Alligator mississippiensis: one gene and its partner. The protein of the gene in region 1 binds, or shares a complex with, the protein of each later gene. Links are inferred from orthologs where the notes say so. Each region holds a gene or a part of one and is shown on either strand. Other genes may lie near its edges.

What was found.
Region 2: MMS19 (region 1) and CIAO1 share a complex: the UniProt entries of both Homo sapiens proteins name them as parts of the MMXD complex. The link is inferred for Alligator mississippiensis from reciprocal best matches to the Homo sapiens genes MMS19 and CIAO1.

Annotation. Positions count from the first base shown.
Region 1 is NC_081829.1:100,700,185-100,711,010, reverse strand, and holds the start of MMS19 (MMS19 nucleotide excision repair protein homolog), read left to right. Parts: upstream 1-4,315; 5' UTR 4,316-4,319; coding exon 4,320-4,422; intron 4,423-4,516; coding exon 4,517-4,565; intron 4,566-4,649; coding exon 4,650-4,750; intron 4,751-4,865; coding exon 4,866-4,951; intron 4,952-5,066; coding exon 5,067-5,141; intron 5,142-5,325; coding exon 5,326-5,395; intron 5,396-5,481; coding exon 5,482-5,610; intron 5,611-5,744; coding exon 5,745-5,806; intron 5,807-6,014; coding exon 6,015-6,101; intron 6,102-6,386; coding exon 6,387-6,461; intron 6,462-6,548; coding exon 6,549-6,626; intron 6,627-6,789; coding exon 6,790-6,928; intron 6,929-7,117; coding exon 7,118-7,272; intron 7,273-7,502; coding exon 7,503-7,617; intron 7,618-7,765; coding exon 7,766-7,891; intron 7,892-8,018; coding exon 8,019-8,100; intron 8,101-8,399; coding exon 8,400-8,497; intron 8,498-8,688; coding exon 8,689-8,814; intron 8,815-9,126; coding exon 9,127-9,282; intron 9,283-9,544; and 13 more. Other genes in the region: ANKRD2 (ankyrin repeat domain-containing protein 2), read right to left, coding at 1-18, 347-445, 709-816, 924-1,085, 1,272-1,418; UBTD1 (ubiquitin domain-containing protein 1), read right to left, coding at 2,903-3,288, 3,424-3,651, 4,044-4,107. UniProt on the Homo sapiens protein: Key component of the cytosolic iron-sulfur protein assembly (CIA) complex, a multiprotein complex that mediates the incorporation of iron-sulfur cluster into apoproteins specifically involved in DNA metabolism and genomic integrity.
Region 2 is NC_081830.1:10,376,676-10,387,730, reverse strand, and holds CIAO1 (probable cytosolic iron-sulfur protein assembly protein CIAO1), read left to right. Parts: upstream 1-6,715; 5' UTR 6,716-6,773; coding exon 6,774-6,939; intron 6,940-7,973; coding exon 7,974-8,122; intron 8,123-8,672; coding exon 8,673-8,784; intron 8,785-8,879; coding exon 8,880-8,968; intron 8,969-9,149; coding exon 9,150-9,348; intron 9,349-9,638; coding exon 9,639-9,726; intron 9,727-10,032; coding exon 10,033-10,273; 3' UTR 10,274-10,549; downstream 10,550-11,055. Other genes in the region: TMEM127 (transmembrane protein 127), read right to left, coding at 6,255-6,507. UniProt on the Homo sapiens protein: Key component of the cytosolic iron-sulfur protein assembly (CIA) complex, a multiprotein complex that mediates the incorporation of iron-sulfur cluster into extramitochondrial Fe/S proteins.

The DNA of each region.
Region 1 (10,826 bases):
CGCGGCCGTGCAGTCCAGCTGCCCACAGATGCTCACGTCAGGGCCAGGCCAGCCCCTGCCTGGCCACGTCCCACAACCCCCCCCACCTGCCCCACAACTCCCCCTGCCCCACCCACACCCAGGACCCCATGCCCCTCACACTGCAGAAAGGGTGACCAGCCCTTGCAGGAGCAGCCCCCTGATTGGCTGCTTTTCCACTAGGGGCAGGGCAGAGGGGACGGGCAGCCAATCAGACTGCAGTAGGGCTCCTCCGCCACCTCTGGGGGCTCTGGGCTGATCCCCAAATGCTTCCTCCAGGTGCCCTCCCCAGACCCGTGGCAGGGACAGGGGGCTGCCCCCATCTCACCCGGTCCTGGAAGTCCACGGTGGCGCCGTGCTCCAGCAGCTTCTCCAGGATCTCGATGTGCCCCTCCAGCGAGGCCCGGTGCAGCGCTGTGCGGTGGAACTGCCCCGGGGCAGCACCGCCATCACTGGACAGCCCCTCCACCTTCCCCACCCCGAGGGCTGCGTCCCCCGCCTGCACCAGGCGCCTGCAGACCCCTGCCCAGCACCCAGGGGCACAAGCAGCCCTGCCAGGCACAGAGCAGCTGTGCCGGGTCCGTAAGGGCCAGACGGACCGCAGCATTGCCAGCCCAGCCGGTGCATCGTCCCTCCGCCCAGCTCCCCGGCGCTGCCCGTGGGGGGCCCAGGATGGGCTGGGGGCACCACCTCATCGCAGGTGTCCGGGGAGCCGCCGTCAGCCAGGAACTTCTCGACGAGGCGGAGCTGGCCCCGCACGGCCGCCCGCAGGAACGTCTCCGGCACCACCGCGGCATCCTGCCGGGCAGGGGGACATGGGACTCCTACACCCCAGGACCCCGCCCGGAGGGTGCTGTCCTGACCCCCAGGCCCCACTGGGCTCTGGCTCAACCCCAGCCCCTTACAAGGTCCTCGGGCTCCGGCTCGGGCGCCGGCTCAGGCGTGGCGGCCCGCTCCTCCCGCCGGCGCCGGCGCTGCTTGCGCAGCTCGATGAGGTGCTGGATGCCGCCCACGTCGATGATCTCGCGCCGCAGGTCCACCGAGCTCCTCCGCACCCGCTCCTGGCCCTGCACCAGGGAGGGAGTGAGGTGTCTGCCTGGATCCCTGCCTCGTGGTGCTTGGCCATCAGCGGGCTTCTCCCCCCTACTCTTGACCCTGCCCCGGGCTCCCCCTGACCACGGCGGCCACAGCTCCTAGAGAGCCGCCTGCCGGGACGAGGGGCCGGCCCAGCTGCGCCCCCCCACACCCCTCACCTTGAGGACGGCGATGCCGAGGGGAAGGGCCCCCCGGTGCTTCTCATCCTCCAGCTCCTGCACCTCCATCCGCACCAGCGCTGGCGGCTGCCCAGAGCTGCTCTGAAACCCAGCACAGACACCCTCAGCCCCCAGGCTGGGTGCCATTGCCCGGGTAAGGCGCTAGATCCGCAGGGAAGGGCCATCGGGGCTAGCGCCAGGGCTCAGCCCGGCTCCGGCGTCCCCGGACTCGCCTGCTTCGCCGCCTCCTCCTGCGCCAGCCTCTGGTCGATGAGCTCCGTCGCCCATTTCAGGTCCTGCTCCACAGTCGCCGCCATGGCTCCGGCCCTGGGCACCGCCTGCCCTGGCGCTGGGAGCTGCGGCGGGTCCTCGCTGCTGTGCCCGCAGCTGCTCGGCTGCTCCAGGCTTTATGCGGCGCCCAAGGGACAGGTGTGCCCGCCCCGTGACTGTGACCGGGGGCTTTTGTCATGAGCTCACCGGCCACATTCTCCCCGGTCACCTTCCCGCAGCGCTGGGCATCGCCCTTAAAGGGCCCCAGGCACAGCAGGGGGACCGAGGGGGGCTCCGGCCTGTGGTGTGGGCAGGAGCCAGAGCCACCGCACCGGGGCAGCAGAGCGCTGGAGCTGGTCACCCCCTGCCCTGCGGCAGCCCTGGGCCCATCCCAAGCCAGTACCCCAGGGCAGCTCTCGATGCCCCTGGAGCTGGGGTCCTGCTCCATGCCGCACATGCTGCTCCCTCCGCGCTGCTGTGGCAGATGACGTCAGGCACTGGCACTTCCGCCAGCCCCCAGGGACACGCTGGCCAGACCCCAGCCTGCCTGGAATAACTCGGGCAGGAGCTATTCCTGTCTCTGCGCACCGCGCGCAGCCCCGCTGGGACCAGAGGAGGGGGCAAGGGAGATGCCACAGTCATCACCGCCCGAGGACCACGAGGCAGGCACGCTCCAGCCTAGAGCCTGAGGGTGACCTTTGACCCTTCCCTTCTGAGGTCACGGGAGGTCGCTGCCTCGGTGTGCAGTGGGGGTCCCTCCCCCAGGTCCTGCACTGGGAAGGCGACAAGCTGTGCGCTGCAACAAGCCGGGGTGGGGGGCACCAGGCAGGGAGCGTGGAGCAGGACCCCCCACCAGCAGCCCCCGCACAGGCGTGTGCCGGCACACACAGGCGCACGCTCGCTGCAGCCCTGGGGCTGAGGACAGGGCGCTTGGAAGAGCAGAGCCAACAGGAGCCAGGAGCTAACCAGCAACGGGGAGGAGCCGGGCACAGGACCCCCGGGGGTAACGTGGCCTCGGTGCCACTGCCCCCGTCACCATCCAGCATCCCCGCAGACCGCCGAGCTGGGAAGGATTTATTGATAAATACAGAGTACGGACACGGCGGCCCCGGCCCCGCGGGCGCCCTGCACCGCGGCTCCCGCTGCGTCTCCGCTCCAGCACGAGCAGCACAGTCCAAGGGGGCTCAGGCGGGGGGACCCCGCCAGCCCCCGCGGGCACCGCCCCAGGCAGCGCCTGTCACAGGAGCGGCCCAGCGGGTGCAGGCCACTCCTCCAGGGGCGCGGGGGGGCCGAGCCCCGGTGCCCGTCCACGCCGGGGCCAGCCCGAGCGCCGCGGCCTGGGGGCCGTGCCCACCGCCGGGTCAGTTCCTGGGGGGCGGCGGCTGGCTCACGATGACCTGGACCACAAAGTCCTTCTGCAGCCGCGTGTCCTGCAGGCGCGTGCGGTCCGTCAGCAGCTTCCCCGAGAAGAACCAGCGCTGCCAGGCGGGCTCGATGCCCTCGCGGGCCTGCAGCTGCCGCTTGAGCTGCCCCACCGTGTCGGCCATGCTGGCGCCCAGCCGCACGTCCCGGCCCGTCGACAGCCGCACCTTCAGCGGGAACTCGCGCCGCGCGCCCGGCGCCGGCTCCGCCGCCTCGGGGCCCTCGTCCTCGCCGCGCTCCTGGATGAGGTTCACGGGCGGCGCCAGGCAGTACACGGGCAGCTGGTACCGGTTCCCCAGCTCGTCGTAGCACTCGGTCAGGGAGCCTGCGCCGGGCACAGCCGGTGAGGGCCGGCGCGCTGCCCACCCGCGGCCCCTCGCTGCCGACCCCCGGCCGCCACCACCCCAGCCCGTCTCTCCCACCCCCGGGGACCGGGCCCCCGGCGCGGCGCGGCGCCTACCGTGAGGCAGGGTGATGCTGGCGCCGTCCAGGATGGCCTGGGCCAGGCCGTGGTCGCTGGCCTCCACGGCGCCGGCGGCCGCCTTGAGCGCGTCCCAGATCTCGGCGCGGCCCTCGAAGGCGGGCGCCGTGTCCCAGAACTCGTCGCGCTTGCTGCGCAGCTGCCCGGCCGTCATGGGGTAGTCGCTCTTCCACTTGGGACGCTCCTTGCGCAGCGGCTCGTTGCGGCCTGCGGGCAGCGGCACGGTCAGCCGGCGAGGGGCTCTGCCACCCGCTGCGGCCGCGGCCCCGGGCATGTCGCCGGCGGGCGGGCGGGCGGGCGGGGGCGGCAGCACGTCCTGTTGCTCCGGCTGCCCCAGCCCGGCCCGGCAATTACTCGGGCGCGCCCGGCCCGTGACGGGAACCAGGCGTGAGTCACGGCCGCAACACCCCCCCCCCCCCGCCACCCCCCACGGCCCGGCCCGGCCCGGCCCGGCCCGCGCGAGCCTGCCCCCCCCGCAGCCCGGCCCGGCCCGGCCCAGCCCCCCGTGTGCCCCCGTCGCGGCGCGGTGCCCGTGCCCGTGCCCGTATCCCCGGGGCGGGGCGGTCCGGGGGGGTTACGTAACCGGCTGCCCCGCTCACCTGCCCGCTTGCGCGCGTGTCGCGGGCCCGGGGCTCGGCGCGGCCTCCCCACGCAGCCGCCCATGTCCCGCCCGGCCCGGCCCGGCCCGCCAGCCCGCGGGACCCGGCTCGTCCCGGCGCCGCCAGACCCGGCGGAGGGAAGCGGGCTGGGCCCGGCCCGGCCCGGCCCCGCCCCCCACGTGCCGCGGCCCCGCCCCCGCGGCCCGCCCCTCGGCGCAGGCCCCGCCCCGCGCCCGCGCGCTGCCGGGCCCGGGTCACGTGCTGGGGGCGGCGCGCATGCGCGGGGCGAGGCGGGGCGGGGCCATGGCGGCGCTGCGGGCGCTCGTGCATGACTTCGTGTCCGGGCTGCAGGACGGGCCCGCGCCCGAGGTGGCGGCAGGTGCGGGGCGGCGGGGCTTGCACGCGCGGCGGGCGGGCGGGCGGGCGTATGTGTGTGCGCGCGTGTGTCACCTCTGACCCTTCCCGTCCCGCAGGGCTGCGCGCCGGGAGCTGGACGGCGCTGGACGTGGTGGAGGCGCTCGGGTAGGAGTCCCGTCCCCGTCTCCGTCCTCGTCCCCTTCCCCCGCGCCGCGCCGCGCCGCGCCGCGCTCACCGCCTCTCCCCCAGGTCGTCGCTGGAGCACCCGGAGCCGCGCACACGCGCCCGCGGGCTGCAGCTGCTGGGCCAGGTCCTGCTGCGCTGCCACGGCGCCCTGCGCCACGCGGAAGGTGCGGGGCCGGGGCCGGGGCCGGGGGCGGCGGTTCTTGGCAGCGGGGCTGGGACCGGGCTCGGGTGGTGGCGGCGTCTGGGGCAGGTGTGACGCGCGGCGCTCGCTCCCCGCAGTGACGCACCTGGTGCTGTTCTTCGAGGCGCGCCTGAAGGACCATCACCTGGTGATCCCCGCCGTGCTGCACGGCTTGCACGCGCTGGTGAGTTCACGCCCCCGTGCCCCGGCCACGCGCGCGGCACCTCCGTGCCCCGGCCCCAGCCCACCCAGGGGCGCGGGGCAGGAAGGGCTCTCAGCCGCGCATGCTCTGTCCGTAGAGCCTGAGCGAGGCGCTGGCCCCGGGCCTGGCCGTGTCGGTGCTCAAGGCCATCTTCCAGGAGGTGCACGTGCAGGTGAGCAGCCCCCACGTCCCCTTCAGCCGCTGGGATGTAGCGCATCCAGAGCGACACGTGTTGTGCTCTGCACGTGCTCCCAGGCGTGCGCTGCGTGTGCGGGGACGGGCTGTTGCCGTGGGCCGCGGGGTGCTGCCCTGCACAGACGCGGTCGGGGTGGCGCTGACACCTCTCTGCCCCGCAGTCGCTGCTGCAGCTGGATCGGCACACGGTCTACACCATCATCACCAACTTCATGCGGACGCGGGAGGAAGGTGCGGGCCCAGGCCCCGTGGGGGGGGGGGGGGGTGCTGGGGTGCCAGGCCCTGAGCGAGCCCCGTGTCTGCTCCCGTCCCTGCAGAGCTGAAGAGCCTCGGCACCGACTTCACCTTCGGCTTCATCCAGGTGATGGACGGCGAGAAGGACCCGCGCAACTTGCTGGTTGCCTTCCAGATCGTCCGCGACCTCGTCCTCAAGGGCTACGCGCTCGGTGAGAGCCCCTGTCCCGCCAGGCGCTGCCCACCCCCCCGGGCTGCCCGGCGCCGGGTCCACAACGCTGCTCCGGGGCCTGGGCCCAGGCGGCTGTGGCTGGCGCTCAGCTTGCGGCTCCGCTGTCTCTCGCAGGCCCCTTTGTGGAGGAGCTGTTTGAGGTGACGTCCTGCTACTTCCCCATCGACTTCACCCCGGTGAGCGAGTCCGTCCGGAGCCGCAGCCCCAAACCAGACCTGCCCTTCCGCAAGAGGGAGCCGGGGCTGGGAGCTGTCCAGAGGGTCTCGGCACCCGAGGCGGGGGCAGGTCTCGCATGTCCCAGCCTCGCCCCTGGCACCTGTGCTGGACCAGGCACCGCACCAGGAGCCTCTGCTGAGCCCTGGGCTCCTTGCGCTTCTGTTGCAGCCCCCCAACGACCCCCACGGCATCCAGCGGGAAGATCTGATCGTCAGCCTCCGCGCCGTGCTGGCCTCCACGCCCCAGTTCGCTGAGGTGAGATGCGTCAATGGGGGTGTGGAGCTGCGCAGGGCAGGAGGGCTGCAGCGTGCGGTGGGGGGCTGGGACACTCGGCTCCGGGCACCAGCTGCGCTCCAGCGCTCAGGCACCCTCGTGCCGTCTGCTCAGCTCCTTCGCTGCTGCTCAGTGGTGGGAGGAGGGTCTGTTGGGCCAGGCTGGCACTGGGCACCAGGCTGAGGAGCAGCGTCTGGGAGCACCAGGCAGCAGCCACCTGAGGCCCCAGCTGGAGCCAGGACCCTGAGACTGAGCCCATCCCCGCAGTTCCTTTTGCCGCTTCTCATCGAGAAAATGGACTCGGAGCTGCAGAGCGCCAAGCTGGACGCCGTGCAAACCCTGGTGAGCATTGCTTCCACCCAGCCCGCCAGGGGCCCCAGAGCCCCAGCAGGGGCTGCACCCTCACTCCGCGCCCGCTGTGCCCTGCAGAGTGCCTGCTGTGCCATCTACGGGCCCAAGGAGCTGCAAGAGTTCCTGCCCAGCCTTTGGGCTTCCCTGCGTCGGGAGGTGAGTGAGGCCGGTAGGGTCCCTGCCAGAGGTGGGGGGCAGCCCACGTCAGGTGGGTCAGGAGGCTACAGTGGGGGCTCGGGCTGTGGCCCCTGTCCTGGGGCGTGGGGTACACGGTCTGTGTAGGCCTGGGCCCTGCAGCTGCCCCCACCCCTATCCCCAGGTGTTCCAGACAGCGAGCGAGAAGCTGGAGGCAGAGTGCCTGGGTACACTGACAGCACTGGCCGCCTGCCTGTCCCACGCCGTGCTCCACGCCGACACCCACGACCCGCTGGACACCTTTCTCAGTGGTGTGCTGCAAGGTAACTGTCCCGGCTGCATGGCAGATGCTGGTGCCAGCTTGGGGAAGGGGCTGACCCGGTGTGATGCCTTACACAGGGTGGGCCGTGGCCGGGCTGAGCTGTCCCTGGCTCTGTGGCCGTGAGCTGGCAGGCACGTGTACCTGTGTGCGCGTTCACCCTATGGCTGAGGTGCCATGTGTGTGTCCCCAGACTGCCGGCACCACCTGTGCGAGCCTGACATGAAGCTGGTGTGGCCAAGTGCCAAGCTGTTGCAAGCCGCAGCCAGCGCCTCACTCCGGGCCTATCACCACATCGCTGGCAGCGTCCTGCCCCTGCTGCTGGAGCAGTACAACCAGCACCCCCAGGTGAGCGCCGCCCGGCAGCATCGGTTCCTCTGGGGTCACACGGCCCCACGGGTGGGGTGCAGGCTCTGGGGTATGCAGCAAGGTGCCGGCATCAGGGTCCTTCTCTGGTCTGGGGGTGGGGGGTCTCTGCAGGGCTTGGCCCCACGGTGCCTTTCTCTGCCCCCGGGTTGGTGGCAGGGTCGTTGGAGCTAGAGCACCCCCCGCACCGGTGCTGACCCCCATCCTGGCAGGGCTGTAACCCGGGCCCGGTCTTGGCTCCTGTGCAGAGCAGCCAGCGGAGGACGATCCTGGAGATGCTGCTGGGCTTCCTGGAGCTGCTGCAGAAGTGGGGGCACGAGGAGGGCGGTGAGTGACAGGGTTCTGCCCGTGGCTCAGACCCGCTCCAAGCCGTCGCCTGCCACCCCCTGCTCCCCCTGCCCCCTCCGAGGTGACTGCAGCGCAGCACCACCCCAAAGGCCTGCGTCCCAGTGATTCTGCGTCCATGTGTCCGCAGACGAGACCGTCCTGCTGGGCGTCCGTGCCCCGCTGTGCTCCGTGGTGTTCTCGGCACTGACGGACCCCAGCGTGCAGCTGCAGATAGTGGGTGTCCGGGCCCTGACCGTGCTGGGCGCGCTCCCAGGTGGGTGTCCTGTACTCTGGGTAGGGGTGGGGTCTCCCTCGGCGCCAGGCAGGGTCCTGGTGGGGCTGGGGGTGGAGTTGGGTGACGGGTTGTTCCCCACTGGGCTACATCTGATCTCCTGGGACAGGGCTTTTGGTGGCCTCAGACCTGGACTTAGCTGTGGACCATTTGACACGACTCGTTCTCCATGAGGAGGATCCCCAGAGCAGGTGAGCAGGGCCAGGTGGTGTGGATGGGTGGCCCGGGGCTGGGACTGGGAGCACCGTCCCCAGGGGGAAGCAGCTGCTGGAGCCGAGGGGCGGTGTCAGGTTTGGGACAGTGGGGCTGAACCAGTCGGGGACGGGAGCGAGACCAGAGCAGGCTCTCGTCGGCACCAAGGCAGGTTACAGGCTGGGCCCGGTCAATCCAGAACGGGGTCCTGTGGACCAGTGCCTGCTGCCGGCAGACAAGGCAAGGCTGGGGCACAGGTGCTCCTGCTGCCTTCACCCAATCTCTCCCCTCTTGGTAGCATGGCAGCGATGGAGGCCGCAGGCACCCTGGCACCTGCCCACCCTGGGGCCTTCACAGACCACATGGTGCGGGCACTGGCACAGGAGCTGCAGACAGGTACAGGGCTAGGGACTGAGGCCATGTGCTGTGAGCAGGGCCACGTGGGGAGGGGTCTGTAGAGGCATTTGCAGGAGGGAGGAACAGGAAGCCCACTGGTGCCCGCAGCAGCTTGCCCTCAGGGCCAGGGCTGGTGGGGTCCCAGCTACGGCCCTGGTGCCAGCCTCCCCACCCCATGCCGTGCCTTCCAGAGCGGGAGGATGAGGGCACCCGGCACCAGCGCTGCCTACAGGCTTTGGCTGCTGTGTCCACCCACCCCAGCATTGTGCGTGAGACCGTCCCCGTCCTGCTGCAGCATCTCCGCCACCTGCAGAGAGGTAACGTGGCCGCACTGTGCAGCACCCCCGCAGCGGGGTGGGCTGTAGGGGGGCACCCAGGACTGAGCTGGGCTGGCAGGGGCTAGGATGCTGGGCAGCTGTGGGTCAGAAGTGGGTCTCAGGGCACTGCAGGTTCGGGGTGAAGGCCCCCACAGAGCTAAGAGGCTGCAGGGTCGGAGTGAGGGACACTTGGCGGGCAGGCGGTTGTGGGTCAGGAGTGAAGGGCGCTGGGGGGGGGACTGCTGGCCTGGGGGAGGGGAGGTATGGGGGGGCCAGCGCCAGAGGGGGTGCTCATGGGCCCTTTGCCTGCAGGCAGCGAGCCAGGGGACACTGGGAAAACGGCATCGCTGTGCCGCAGCCTGCACCGCGTGGCTGTGCAGAGCCAGCACGACCCCGAGAGCTGCAGCTTCTACCACCAGGCCGTGGTGCCTTGTCTGCTGGGCCTGGCCCTGCAGGCTGCCCTGCAAGGTGAGTGTGGGGCTGGGCTCGGGCTGGGGCTCCTGGGTTCGGGCCTGAGGCGTCCAGCTGGTGCCTGGACCATCGGCTGAGAGCAGAGACACCCCTTTGCCAGGTCTGGGTGCAAGGATGATGCTGCAGTTGGGGGTGGGGGGCTGGTTGGGTTCCCCTCGTGCCCCTTCACCGGGTCCTCGTAGCCTGGATCAGGGTGTCCCTGGATGCAGGGGCCAAGGCCCCGCGGGTGCTGACCATCCGATACTCACCCTTCCCCCAGAGGATGCTCTCCTGGCGCCAGGCAAGGCGCTGCTGGAGGAGGAGGCTTTGACCTCCATGGTGCCCGTCATCAGCGCCGCCAGCACCCACCTGAGCCCCGAGTGAGTGCAGGGCCTGCAGGCAGGGAGGGGGCCCAGGGCACACGTTTGCTGGCAGTGCTGGGATTGAGCACCGTGGCCTTGCTGCAGCTCTGCCCGGCTCCTGTGTGGTTCTGCCTGGCAACGCTGACCCACCACATTGCTCTTGCCCAGGCTGGCGGTGCAGAGCGCGGCGCTCATAGTGCCCCTTTTCCTGGACGGGGACGTCTCCTTCTTACCCCAGAACAGCTTCCCCTGCTCTTTCCAGCCCTTCCAGGTGTGTGGGGCAGGGCCAGGGGGTAGGGGGCTGGGGATGGGCATGCAGGAAGGAGCTGGGGGGTGAGTCCCAGGGTTGATGTGGACACTGTCTCCTGGCAGGATGGGCCCTGCTTAGCAGCGCAGAGACGTCTGGTCACCCTGCTCATGGCCTTCATCTGCTCCCTGCCCAGGAACGTGAGTGCAGGGGGTTCTGGTGGGCCTGAGGGGCTGGGGGGGGCCTGTGGGTCTGAGTCTCAGCATGTCTGCCCTGCAGGTGCCCGTCCCCCAGCAGGACCGGCTGCTGCGGGAGCTGCTGGCCCTGAGCTGCGCCTGTGACTGCCCCTTTGCTGCCACGGCTGCCGCTAAGTGCTTTGCGGGACTGGTGAACAAGCACCCAGAAGGTGAGTGGGGGCTCACACGCATGCCTGCGCACACGGGAAGCCCCATGCAGGGGGCACATCCACCCTGCCCCATTTGTCTCCCCAGGGCCGCAGCTGGACGAGGTGCTGCAGCTGGCGCTGAACCGGCTGGAGCCGGGCCTGGCCGAGGGTCCCCGCCGCACCCAGGCCCTCGGCCTGCTCCTCTGGGTAAGGACAGCAGCGCCCGCACTGGGGGGGGTTGGTCTGGTCCTGCTCTGCCCCCTCGGCACCCCCAACCCCTGCTCTCTACCCCTGCAGGTGACCAAGGCTCTGGTGCTGCGCTACCACCCGCTGAGCTCCCGCCTGACGGACAAGGTGAGGGGCTGGGGGGGCCGGGCTGGGCTGGGGTGGAGAGGCCAGGGAGGGCCAGGGCCTGACAGCACCTCTGCCCACAGGTGCTGGCGCTGCTGGGGGATGCAGAGCTGGGCCCGGCGGCAGCTGAGGGGCTGGGGCTCCTGCTGGGCGATGCACCTGATGTGCTGCACCGCGGCTGCCACGCCGACGTGCGCCTCATGTACCGCCAGCGCTT
Region 2 (11,055 bases), on another chromosome or scaffold:
CTAGGTAGCTGAAAGCTGTTATTAAATCCCCTCTCAGTCTTCTCTTCTCCAGACGCAATAAACACAGTTCCCTCAGCCTCTCCTCTCAGTCATGTGTCCCGGCCCCCTAACCACTGCTGCCCTGCACTGGACTCTCTCCAATGTATCCACATCCTTTCTGCAATGGGGGACCTAAAACTGGACACACTACTCCAGATGTGGCTTCACTAGTCAAATAGAGGTGAGCAATCGCTTCCTTTGATCTACTGGCAACAGCCCTACTAATGCAGCCCAGTATGCCATTAGCCTTCTTGGCAGCACTGTTTGCTCCTATTCAGCTTATTGTCCACTGTAACCCCCAGGGCCTTTTCTGCAGAGCTGCTGATTAGCCAGCGAGTCCCCCCCTGCCTGTACCGGTGCATGGGATTGTTGTGTCCTGAGTGCAAGACTTTGCACTTCTCCTTGTTGAACTTCCTGACATTTCTTTTGAGCCAATCCTCCAAATTCTAGATCTTTCTGAAATCTAGCCCCACCTCCAGTGCGTCTACTGCTCTACCCAGCTTGGTGTCATCCACAAACATGCTAAGGATGCACTCTATGCCATCTTCCAGCTCTTTGATGAATCCAGATTGTTGATTCTACAATTACAGCTCTGCCTTGGAAAGTGCCAGCTCTTGGTTTTTCTATGGAAAAGTCCCAGAGCAATTCTTTCATGGATTAGAACTCAGCAGGTCAGGGTGGTTGGACACTCTGGGAACCTTCTGATGTCTCTTGTGACTTGTGCATGGGTGTCTGCACACCAAACAGTGCTAATTTTCTGTGGCACTCTTCAAAGGGTCTCAGGGCACCCCTCTTCTCTTTTATTCTGCCCTGTCAAATACAGCACATCGTCCTTTGGGGGCATGTGGTACACAAGGGAGTATAGAACTAGTGGAGCTTGTGGCACTCGTTGGGTCTCCTCTTCGGGTGCTGAAGTCAGAGCCTGTTCAGTGGGACTGACCACAACATGCCTCCTACCGGTATCTCATTTGCCTTCGTCTGTGGGCCGTTGGTGCCTCAAACCCTGGTTTGAGCCTGTGTGGTTCTGCTGTGCTTGACCTGGGGCTACTGCCCATTGATACACAAACGTTGTTGCCATGGTGATGGTAACATGCAGGCAAAAACTTGACACAGGCAACTGCCAGCTACAAGCTGGACTAGACCGGGGGGAGCAAGCTGCAGCACACATGCTACAATTGACACACGAAGGCCCTGTGCATGGCACACAGCAGATCAGGGAGGGGGCAGGGAGGAGAAAGCAGAGCAGCAGAAGATGCAAGGAATTAGAGGAGCCCTTGAGGAGGGGGATGGGCTACACTTTACTGTCCCCTAATGAACTTGAGGGAAATAATTTCCTCTTGCTCTCCAGCAGGTCATCCCCACCACTACCAACAACAGACCAGAGGAGGTTCCCGTGCAGTGGGAAGTAAGTGGGAGAGGCAGACAGGCATCCAGTGACTCAGCTAATGAGGGTGCAGTTAGAGTCCGGAAGTCCCCGGTTCCATGCTGATGACTCACACCAGTCAGGTCTTTCCCTGGGGCCAAGAGATCCATCATGGGCATGCTGCCATCATAAAGCAGGGGCTGCAGTAAGCACCCACCTCCACCCAGAGCCACATTTCGGGTTCATTTATGTGGACACTCACCCCACTGCCTCAGGCTAGGGAGGAGAGGCAAAGAAGTGTCCTGCCACTAGCTCCTGGCTCTGCTGGCCTGGCAGTGTTGATTTGTCAACACAAAATGGATCCCAGAAGGGGACCTGCCATCTCCAACACTCCTGAGTGCCTGGAAACAGCCGGGAAAGTAGCTGCTCAACCTCAAAGGGCTGGTGCCTTAGGGACAGCAGCGTTACACCCCTGGCTGCTGTGAGGATGAAGAGGAGAAGGACCTGGCACATCTCAAGGCTGGAGCAAGGGACCAGGATGATAGAAGAGGACAGAGAAAAAAGGAAGAAGCCTGGAAGGCCAAGGAAGTGGTGATGGGCACAGGGATGACCTCGGGCCAGGCTGCTGGAGAAGGAGCTGCAATGCAGCTATTGACACTCACTATCCCACGACAGCTGCCAGCACAACTAGCTCCACAACTTTCTGGCCTAGGAGCAGCCTGGCAGTATGGTCCTAAACCCAGCAAAGGCTGTTCTCAGCCCTGCGGCACCCCCCTACAACCAACCAGTGCTTGGCAACTAACCAGGAGCCCCCAGGCCCACACCAAACTGCTGTGTCTGGTGGTCACTAGCAGGGGCTGGAGAGGGGAAGGCTCTTGTGGCAATGAGGTGGGAATCCTAAAGACATCAAGCTGGAAGGGACCACCAGAGGTCACATCTAATTCAACCCTCTGTCTGAGGCAGGATCAGCCCTGTCAAAACCATCCCAGACGCATCCAACGTCCATCCTCTTAGCAAAACAACACAGTCAGCCCTGATGCAGCACCAGACATCACACCCAAACCTGCCACAGGGAAAGCAGGAAGACTGCAGCAGTCAATGTCCTGCTTTTATAACAGGTGGCTAAGAGAGTCCAGGTTGAGGTTGGGCCTCTGCTACAGAGGAAGGCAAAAAATCCCCCACTCTGTACCAGTCTAGGCAGAGGGGAAAATTCCTTCCTGACCCCAATCAGCATTTGTCTGAGCCTGAGCAGATGGCAAGACCCTCTATCAAAGACCCGCTGGGTTTCAGTTCCAGCAAAAGCATTGGCACATCCCATTCACCATCCCCAGTCTAACTAGATGATCATATAGGGTGCAAAGGACCCTTGGTGATTGCTGACTGGAGATGGGGAATCCTGAAGAGAGTGAGGGAACCACATGAACTTCTGGACTGCTGTGCTCAAAGCCAAAGCTTGGCAGAGACCTAATATTCTTCCCACTGCAGAGGGACTAACAGGCAGCTGTTGCTGGAGCTCAGAGGAGGGACTCATACAAGGGTAACTGAGGACAGGGGTTATTTTAGGGGGGAACCTCAACATTTACAAATGGAATCTGCTCTTGTGAGATCCCAGGAGAGGCTGGATGTTGCTGCGAGACCACGGCCACCTGGCTGGACAGGAGAAAACATCCTGCCTCACAATGCAAACAAGCAAACAGCCAATTTTCCAGTTCCCTTGTCCTGAGGACAGACACAGGCACCAGGAAACTGAAGCTCCAATTTCCCCCCACCTTCCAGGAAGATAGGCAGGGCAGAGCTGCACCTTCAAGAAAAATCAGAGTCTCAGAGATATGTGGCCTTTGGGAAGTAGCAACTGGCTTCGAAGGATGCTACAAAATTTGTTTTGGTTAGTCCATAAGGGGCAACTCTACCCTGGTTTAGGCCTGACTCTAGACTATCACAGTTAACTAACTGCCTCTCTCTGCTCCTGAAGACAGATAGTTTATCTGTGGCCATCAGCCACTCTTAAGACCAAGGTACTGCGAGATCCTCTGAAGTGGACTATACCGTATTAGTGGTAGCATGAGTGTAAAGATTCACAGGAGAAACCCAGAGATTGCCCATAGGAAACCAGTGTCCAAACCCTACAGCCTTGCTGGGGGCTTGCCAAGGTCTTAGCCACAGAAGAATTGCTCTGGGATTTTTCCATAGACAAGAAAAAAGTGCAAGGAAGAGTTGGGATTTGCCAAGGGGGGCCTGGGTCTCAAGAGGGGAGGAACTGCTGCCCTATATGGTCTTTGTACCTGGAGTGCCTTCACTTTAGTCGGCAGCTGAGGCCACCTGGGCCTTTTGTAGGGACCTTTCCTGGTGGCAGAGTTACCAAGAAGCTAACAGAGTGCCAACTAGCGACATTAGATCTGGAATGGCTTTCTCCATCGCATCTATGATAGATAAACCTCACAGCTACCGCCATGCCAAAGATCTTAAGCCGAGTAAGAGCAAAACCCTGGGTTACACACACCACGTGAGGACCGTTTTCTGAGCTGAAAGAATTGTCTAATGAGGTGCCTGGAATGTAATCTCTTGGAAACCATCTGTGGGAACACTCAGCCAGACCTAATGCTCATGCAGATCTAAGGCCCCAGCTGCAACAGAACAGGGCAAAGACCTAAGAAATGCCACAAGGGCAACAAAACCAAAATGAATGAAAGAGTCCTGGCTCCACCGAGACTCCCCCATTCTCTGGTGTTGCCAGGATGTGACTTTCCTGGCAGGGCTAAGAACAAACGTAATTGAAAAATGGGGAGCCATGCTTTTCCTGAAGACTTTGGGTTTCCAAGAAGGTTAGACAGAGAAAAGTCTTGAAAACCTGGAGATACAAAGTCCTTTATCAAAGAATCATACAGAAAAGTGGGGCTGGAAGGGACCTCCAGAGGTCACATTGAGTCCAACCCCCTGTCTGAGGCAGGATCAGTCCTATCCAACCATTCCAGACAAATCCATCATCTAAACTCTCCATAAGACTACCCTCAGCCCTGACACAACAGAGACCTAACACCCAAACTTGCCACAAGGAAAGCAGAGGAACTACTGCAGCCAATGTCCTGCTTCTATGAAATGTTGTCAATAGATGCTCAAGAGATCCCAGGCAGAGGCCATGCCCCTACTGCCGAGGAAAGCAAAACCCTCCCCTGCCAGTCCCTCCCAATCTGACCAGGGGGTAAAATTCCTTCCTGACCCCAAATGACCCCTTCCTGGCCTTAATCTGAGCATGACCAGAGAAGCAAGACCCTCTAACCAGGACCCTCTGGGTCTAAGTCCCAGCAGGAACACTGGTACAGCCTAGTCACCGTCCTCAGCCTGGGCTGCAGCCAACACCCAGCGAGTCTGAGGGAGGATTAAAAACACCCTGACGCATTTAGCAAAAATTAGCGGGGAAGGGAAGGAAGAAGAGCAACAAACAAAGTCCAGAAGCTTGGGAAATCCCTGTAGTAAAACACAGGCATTGCTATACCTCAGGGGTTGTCAACTGGCGGTACTTGAGAAGGCCCCAAGAGGCACGTGTGGGTGGGCAAGGAGTGCCGCCATGTATTACCCCCCATGCTGCCACGCAGGCGCCGCATACCTGGCCAGGCACATGGGAGATAGTGGGGGGTGTGAGAGAAGCTTGCGCACAATGACTGCTCTGCATTCAACTGCACCCCTCCACCCCCGCCAGGGATACACTGGTACTAAAAGTTTGAAACCCCTTGCTATACCTAGATCACCTCTGACCAGCAGCTGTCCAAACTCCTCCTGATCACCTCCAGTCCACCCTTCCCTGGGCATCCCACTGCCTTGCTGTTCTAACAGAAAATAAGTTTTTCCTGAGATTGAACTTTATCCTCCTTGGCTGCCACTTCCAGCCGCTGGTTGGTGTCCTCCTCTATCCAGCAAAAGAGAAGGTGTTTTCCCTCTTCTTCATGTCTGCCCTTCAGCACCTTAGCCCCAAAGCAGAAGCAGTACATCCTGGGACAAGATGACTTTCCTACCAAGCGTTTCAATACAGCTGTAAGAGGGATCCTGGCTCGGAGGCTTAGAAACCTGACCACAGACCCATTTTCCTGTCCCAGCGACAGCAGTCAATGAGGAAGCTGTCTGAACAGAGCTTTTTCCTAGCACCCACACCAGGGGTCCTCAACCTCCTTAGACTCTAGGGCCCCCTTGGGAAAGCCCAGAGCTGACATTTTCCATTCCTTCCCTGAGGCAAAGACCTGGGATAGACCACAATAAGCCAGCAGGGTTGGGACACGGTGGCTTCTATCGGAAACCTCTCGGTTTCTCTTGGACTGCGTCGAGGTGCCTGCATGTCGGATGGGGCTACTCTGCCAGGCACCTTGAAAAGGATAGTGGGGCGTCCCTGTGCTGCTTCCCCAGCTGGGAACCACCGGGGCCGACTGGCATGCCCGGACCCCTCCCTGCTAGAACATGGCAGAGAATGCATGAGTTTCTCACGCACGGCCAAAGAAACAGGGGATGCAGGGTCTGTAGCACAGAAGTCACCTCTGCTGGCGACCAGTTAGCCCAGGGCTTCTCAGCCAGGCACGGCCGGGGCCGGGAGCCAGGAGCCTGGACAGGAACAAACACCCGTGTGTGGGTCCCTGGATTGACCCAGAGGATTCCCAGAGAGGTACAGAGGGTCCGAGCCCCTGGCCCGGCCTGGCCTGCTCTGCGTCAACATAGAGCAGCTCCAGGATTAGGGAGCGGCCTGAGATACGGAGGGGCCACGGGGCAGCCCAGGGTGTGCGGGCAGCACCGAGCAACACCCTCAGCCGCCCCAGCCCCGCCACAACTGCCCCAGGGCCCCCCCCGCTCAGCCCCCTGCCCCGCTCACCTCGCAGCAGCGCGGGCTCGACGCAGCCCAGCACGTCGGCGACGCCGAGCTCCTGGCGGGCGCAGACGCCGCCGTGGAGGCGCAGCCAGGCGGGCTCGGCCAGCGCCGTGCACAGCGCCGTGATGGACAGCGCGCCGGGCAGCGCCGACGCCAGGCTGCGCTCGGGCTGCTTAGGCAGGGCCCCGCCGCCGCCGCCCCGCCGCCGCGCCCCTCGCCCGCCCGGTCCCGCCGCGCCCGCCGCCGCCGCGTACATCCCGGCCGGGCCCGGCGTCCCACGAACAACCGCCGCCGGCCCGGCCTCGCCTCAGCGTCAGGACCCCCGGCGCCGCTTCCGCTTCCGCTTCCCCGCTTCCGGCCGGCGGCGACTACGTCACCGCGCACTTCACCGCCTCCCTGACGGCCGGCGCCATGACGCCATGACGCTGAGACACGCCCTCTCCTGCGACGGCGTTTAGCGATTGGCGGCCGTGAGCTCCCGTTGCCCACTGCGGCGCCCAGGCGGGAGCGGCAGCGCGGCGCATGCGTGCGGGGTCGGCTAGCGGGAGCGGAATGGCGACGCTGACGCTGAGCTGCCGCCTGGCTGCGCACCCGGACTCGCGCTGCTGGTTCGTGGCCTGGAGCCCGGGTGGGGCCCTGCTCGCCTCGTGCGGCGGCGACCGCAGCGTGCGCGTCTGGGGCCGCCAGGGTGAGCGGGGCGGGGCAGGGCGCGGTACCGTATTGCGCGGCATAGCACACGCCGTGTGACGTATTTACCCACCTACACGTCCCCTCTAAGCGTGGCCAGGGCAGCGCAGAGCTCACAACAGCAAGCAGCTTTCCTGTGCGGCCCCGCTGCGCCAGTTGCACACGCTGTGCTCTGGAGGGCCTGGGGGAGTGCAGCATTTGCGACCCAGGGTTTGCAGCTGGCCAGGGGGAAGGGGTTGCAGCCTCCCTGCTCCCAGCTGGAGTGCTCAGTGGGCTGCAAACCCCCCATCCTGGCCAAGGAGTGCCCAAGCTGGCTGGGGGCTGAGGGAGCCAGGGGGGGCGGGGCCAGGCACTCCCCCCCCCAGATTGCAAGCCTCTCCAGTCTCTCAGCCCCCAGCCAACTTGCACCCCAGCCCTGCCCCACAACCCCCAAGCCCCACTTACCTCTAGCAAGAAGAGTGAGCCTGAAACAGCCTATGGTAAATGCAATTGTCAGGCCCTGACATTTTCCCTCTCCCTTCCCCTCTGGACAGGGGTGGTGGGTTCCCTGCCCGTTTTGCAAACAGCTCTTGTAGGCTGGAACTCAGCGAGGCTGGAACTCAGCCAGCCTGCAGAGCTCTTTGCAAAAGGGGGAAATCCATGGGTTTCCCTTCTAAAAGGGAAAACCCATTTTTTCTCTGATTAAAAAAAGCTGCGTAGGCATCTGGATGGGGTCATATGACCCCAGCACTCTTTCCTGCCTAGGCAGGGGGTTGGACTCAATGATCTGTTGAGATCCCTTCTGACCCTAGCATCTATGAAAAAATGGGAAATCTGTGGCTTTCTCTATTTTTCTGTGGAAAACAGAAAACCCGGATCCCTGGTAATGTCTCACCTATACACCCCCGAGAACAGGATAATGCACCTTGTGTGTAGGGGAGTGGGGACAGCACTGCAGGGGACACTTGGCATAGCACCACTGCCATATTGTCTTATTTACAACACACTTTTTGGGGAGCAGGGCATGGCCCCAGTGTGACGTGTGGTTCCTTGCAGGCGAGAGCTGGGTCTGCCGGGCAGTGCTAGACGAAGGGCACCAGCGCACAGTGCGGAAGGTGGCCTGGTCGCTGTGTGGCAACTACCTGGCTTCAGCCAGCTTTGATGCCACCACCTGCATCTGGAAAAAGACGCCTGATGGCTTTGAGGTGAGGTGAGGCGCGGTAGAGAACCAGCCCTTCTTCCCTCCCTCCTCCCCTTCTCCAGGCTGGGACACCTTGCCCCAGGGCAGCCAGGCACCCCAGCTGTGCACCGCACCTTGCTCCCAGGTGTGATCAGGGCTGCCTGAGAACTGCCCCTGCTTGGCCCCACCTCCCTCAGGCTCATCTTGTCCCTGCCATCAGCTTGGGTCTGGTTGCTATGTCCCACATGTTCAGGGCCAGCAGGTGCATGCAAGGAGGAGTATGAACCCTGGGTACTAAGCAGGGGCACCAGAAAGGGGCAGAGGGTCAAGCCTCAGGCAGTGTAGGGCAGGAAGAAGTGGTTGGGGGGAGCCGAGACTACTGCTCCTACCTTTGGTGGATCAAATCCAGGCTCCATGGCTAGGTCTGAGCAAGAAGAAGACGGAAGAAGAAGAAAACAGCTGCCCTGAGAGTGCCTGGCCTTGCCACTGGCTCCAACTCTGGCCACCTGTAGCCAAGCTTTTTTGCAACCTAATCCCTGCTGGGGTCTGGTATTAACTGCTTCTCCCCCTAACAGTGCGTGACCACGCTGGAAGGCCACGAGAATGAGGTGAAGTCGGTGGCCTGGTCCCCATCCGGCAGCCTGCTGGCCACCTGCAGCCGTGACAAGAGTGTGTGGATCTGGGAAGGTGAGAGAGGCTGGGGTGTGGTGGTGGTGGCAGTAGGAGGGAAGGGGCCTCTAGCTACGTCCTAGTCCCCCAGCTAACCCTGTCCTCTCTGGCAGTGGATGAAGAAGATGAGTACGAGTGTGTGAGCGTTCTCAACTCTCACACACAGGACGTCAAGCACGTGGTCTGGCATCCTACCCAGGAGGTGAGATCCTGGTTGGCTACCCCAGGGGGCTCCAGCCTCTGTCTTCTGGGCAGTGGGGCAGGATGGGAAAGGCTAGGGGGAAGGAGTCCAAAATGGCTGGATTGCACCCTGTCCCCTAGATATCCCTCCCCCTTCCACTAGGTAGAAACAACCCACCTGAGACCCCAGCCTCTCCTGCCAGCTCCTGGCCTCAGCCAGCTATGATGACACTGTGAAGTTGTACCGTGAGGAGGAGGATGACTGGGTGTGCTGCACCACACTGGAAGGCCATGAGTCTACTGTGTGGGGCCTGGCCTTTGATGGGGCCGGCCGGCGACTTGCCTCCTGCAGTGATGACCGCACTGTGCGCATCTGGAGCAGTGATGAGCAGGGTGAGCCAGGTATGGGCTGGTGGGGAGGGCGACAACGACTCAGGAGTCTGGCTGGCTCACCTCCACTCTAAGGGCTGGTGAGGGTGTGACAAGGCCAGCACCTGCTCTGCTCCGTTGGGGTGGCTAGATGGCACTGGCAGGGCTATATCTGTCTCCCAGCTGTGCTGTGCTGTGGGCAGGGGGATGCTGGGAGCTGCTAGTTTCCAGATCAGCCTGGTGCACTGAAGCCCTGGGTGGCCTCCAGCGCTGCTGTGAGGTCTGGGGCAGCAGCTCCCTGTCCTGTTTCTCCTGCCTTGTAGGGGTGGCCTGTAGCAGCACAGAGCCCAGCTGGAAGTGCATCTGCACCCTCTCTGGCTACCACACCCGCACCATCTATGATGTGGCCTGGTGAGTTGGTCCTGGAGTAGGGGGAACTCAGGTTGGGGCCACAAGTGGTTCTAGGCTCTCCCCTTTATCATGGGAGCTGGGGGGCACTGAGCCATGGCCAGCTGTTCCCAATGAGCCCTGAATGCTGTTAGAACCAGGAGAAGCCAACTTCCCTGTATCCCCCTCACCTGTCTGGAGGAAGGCTTTCCTTTGGCTAACTTCTGGCAGGGGGTGGAAAACGGAGTAGATTGGGAAGGGAGTGACGCTTGAGGGGGGCAAGTAGGAGTTATCTGGCAATCCCCATGGTACCAGCCCCTCCTCCCACAGGTGCCACCTGACCGGCGCACTGGCCACAGCCTGTGGAGACGATGCCATCCGGATCTTTGAGGAGGAGCCGCTGGCGGAGCCACAGCAGCCCACCTTTGCCCTGATGGCCCACGTGCCCCGAGCCCATGCCCAAGATGTCAACTGTGTGGCCTGGAACCCTGCCGAGCCGGGGCTGCTGGCCAGCTGCAGCGACGATGGGGAGGTGGCCTTCTGGAAGTACCAGCGCCCTGAGTGCTGCTGAGACCTCAGCCTGCTGCTCTGAGCTTGCAGAGCCTGACACTGGCTCTGTCTCCCCCACCCTGGGGCAACAGGAAGCCTGGCAGATGCAGTCACAGGAGTGTGGTGCTGTTGCCCCCAGAGGACAGTGGCACAGCAAGGGATTGGGTTCTCTGCTCCTTGAAAGGGCCTCAAGTTACCCAAGTTGTGGGCAGCAGCAAGGCAAGGGTAGTGCGGTTTCCTCTGCTGCAGCTGTTGCCCTCATCAAATGGAGCCAGGCCCCAATAAAAAGCCTCCCACATCTGGTCTGGCCTCTGCTTTATGCCCTGCCCTGGTCCAGGGGGTACAAGATGCTGTGGTGTACACTTCGAAGGTCCATAGACGGAAGCCCCCCAGAATCACAGCCCAGCCTGCAGCATGCAGGTAGGGGAAGAGGCTGCTGGGAACTGGTGGCACCAAGCCAGGTCTCGATTTGGATTTAATGTAGCTGCTTTAGACATGCAACCAACAGCCAGGCTGGGAGACCATGGTCCCAAGCCCCAGCAGATGTCTGGTACTGGAGCCCTCAGTGACATCAAACTCAGGGCAGCTGCTGATTGGGGCCCTAGTTTCCTTCTCCTTTTAAGCCAGGCTTCCCTCCCATTTGTAGCCTTGCTAATGTGCTGCCCCTACCTTAGTCCAGGAAGCCTCAGCCTTAGCACCCTCCCCTTGCCACAGACCAGATTTGCTAGCAGTTGGGATCAGTGGGGCTCAGCCTTCATGGGTGGGCAGGGAGGGATCACCCAACTGTCTGCTTTCACATGCTGA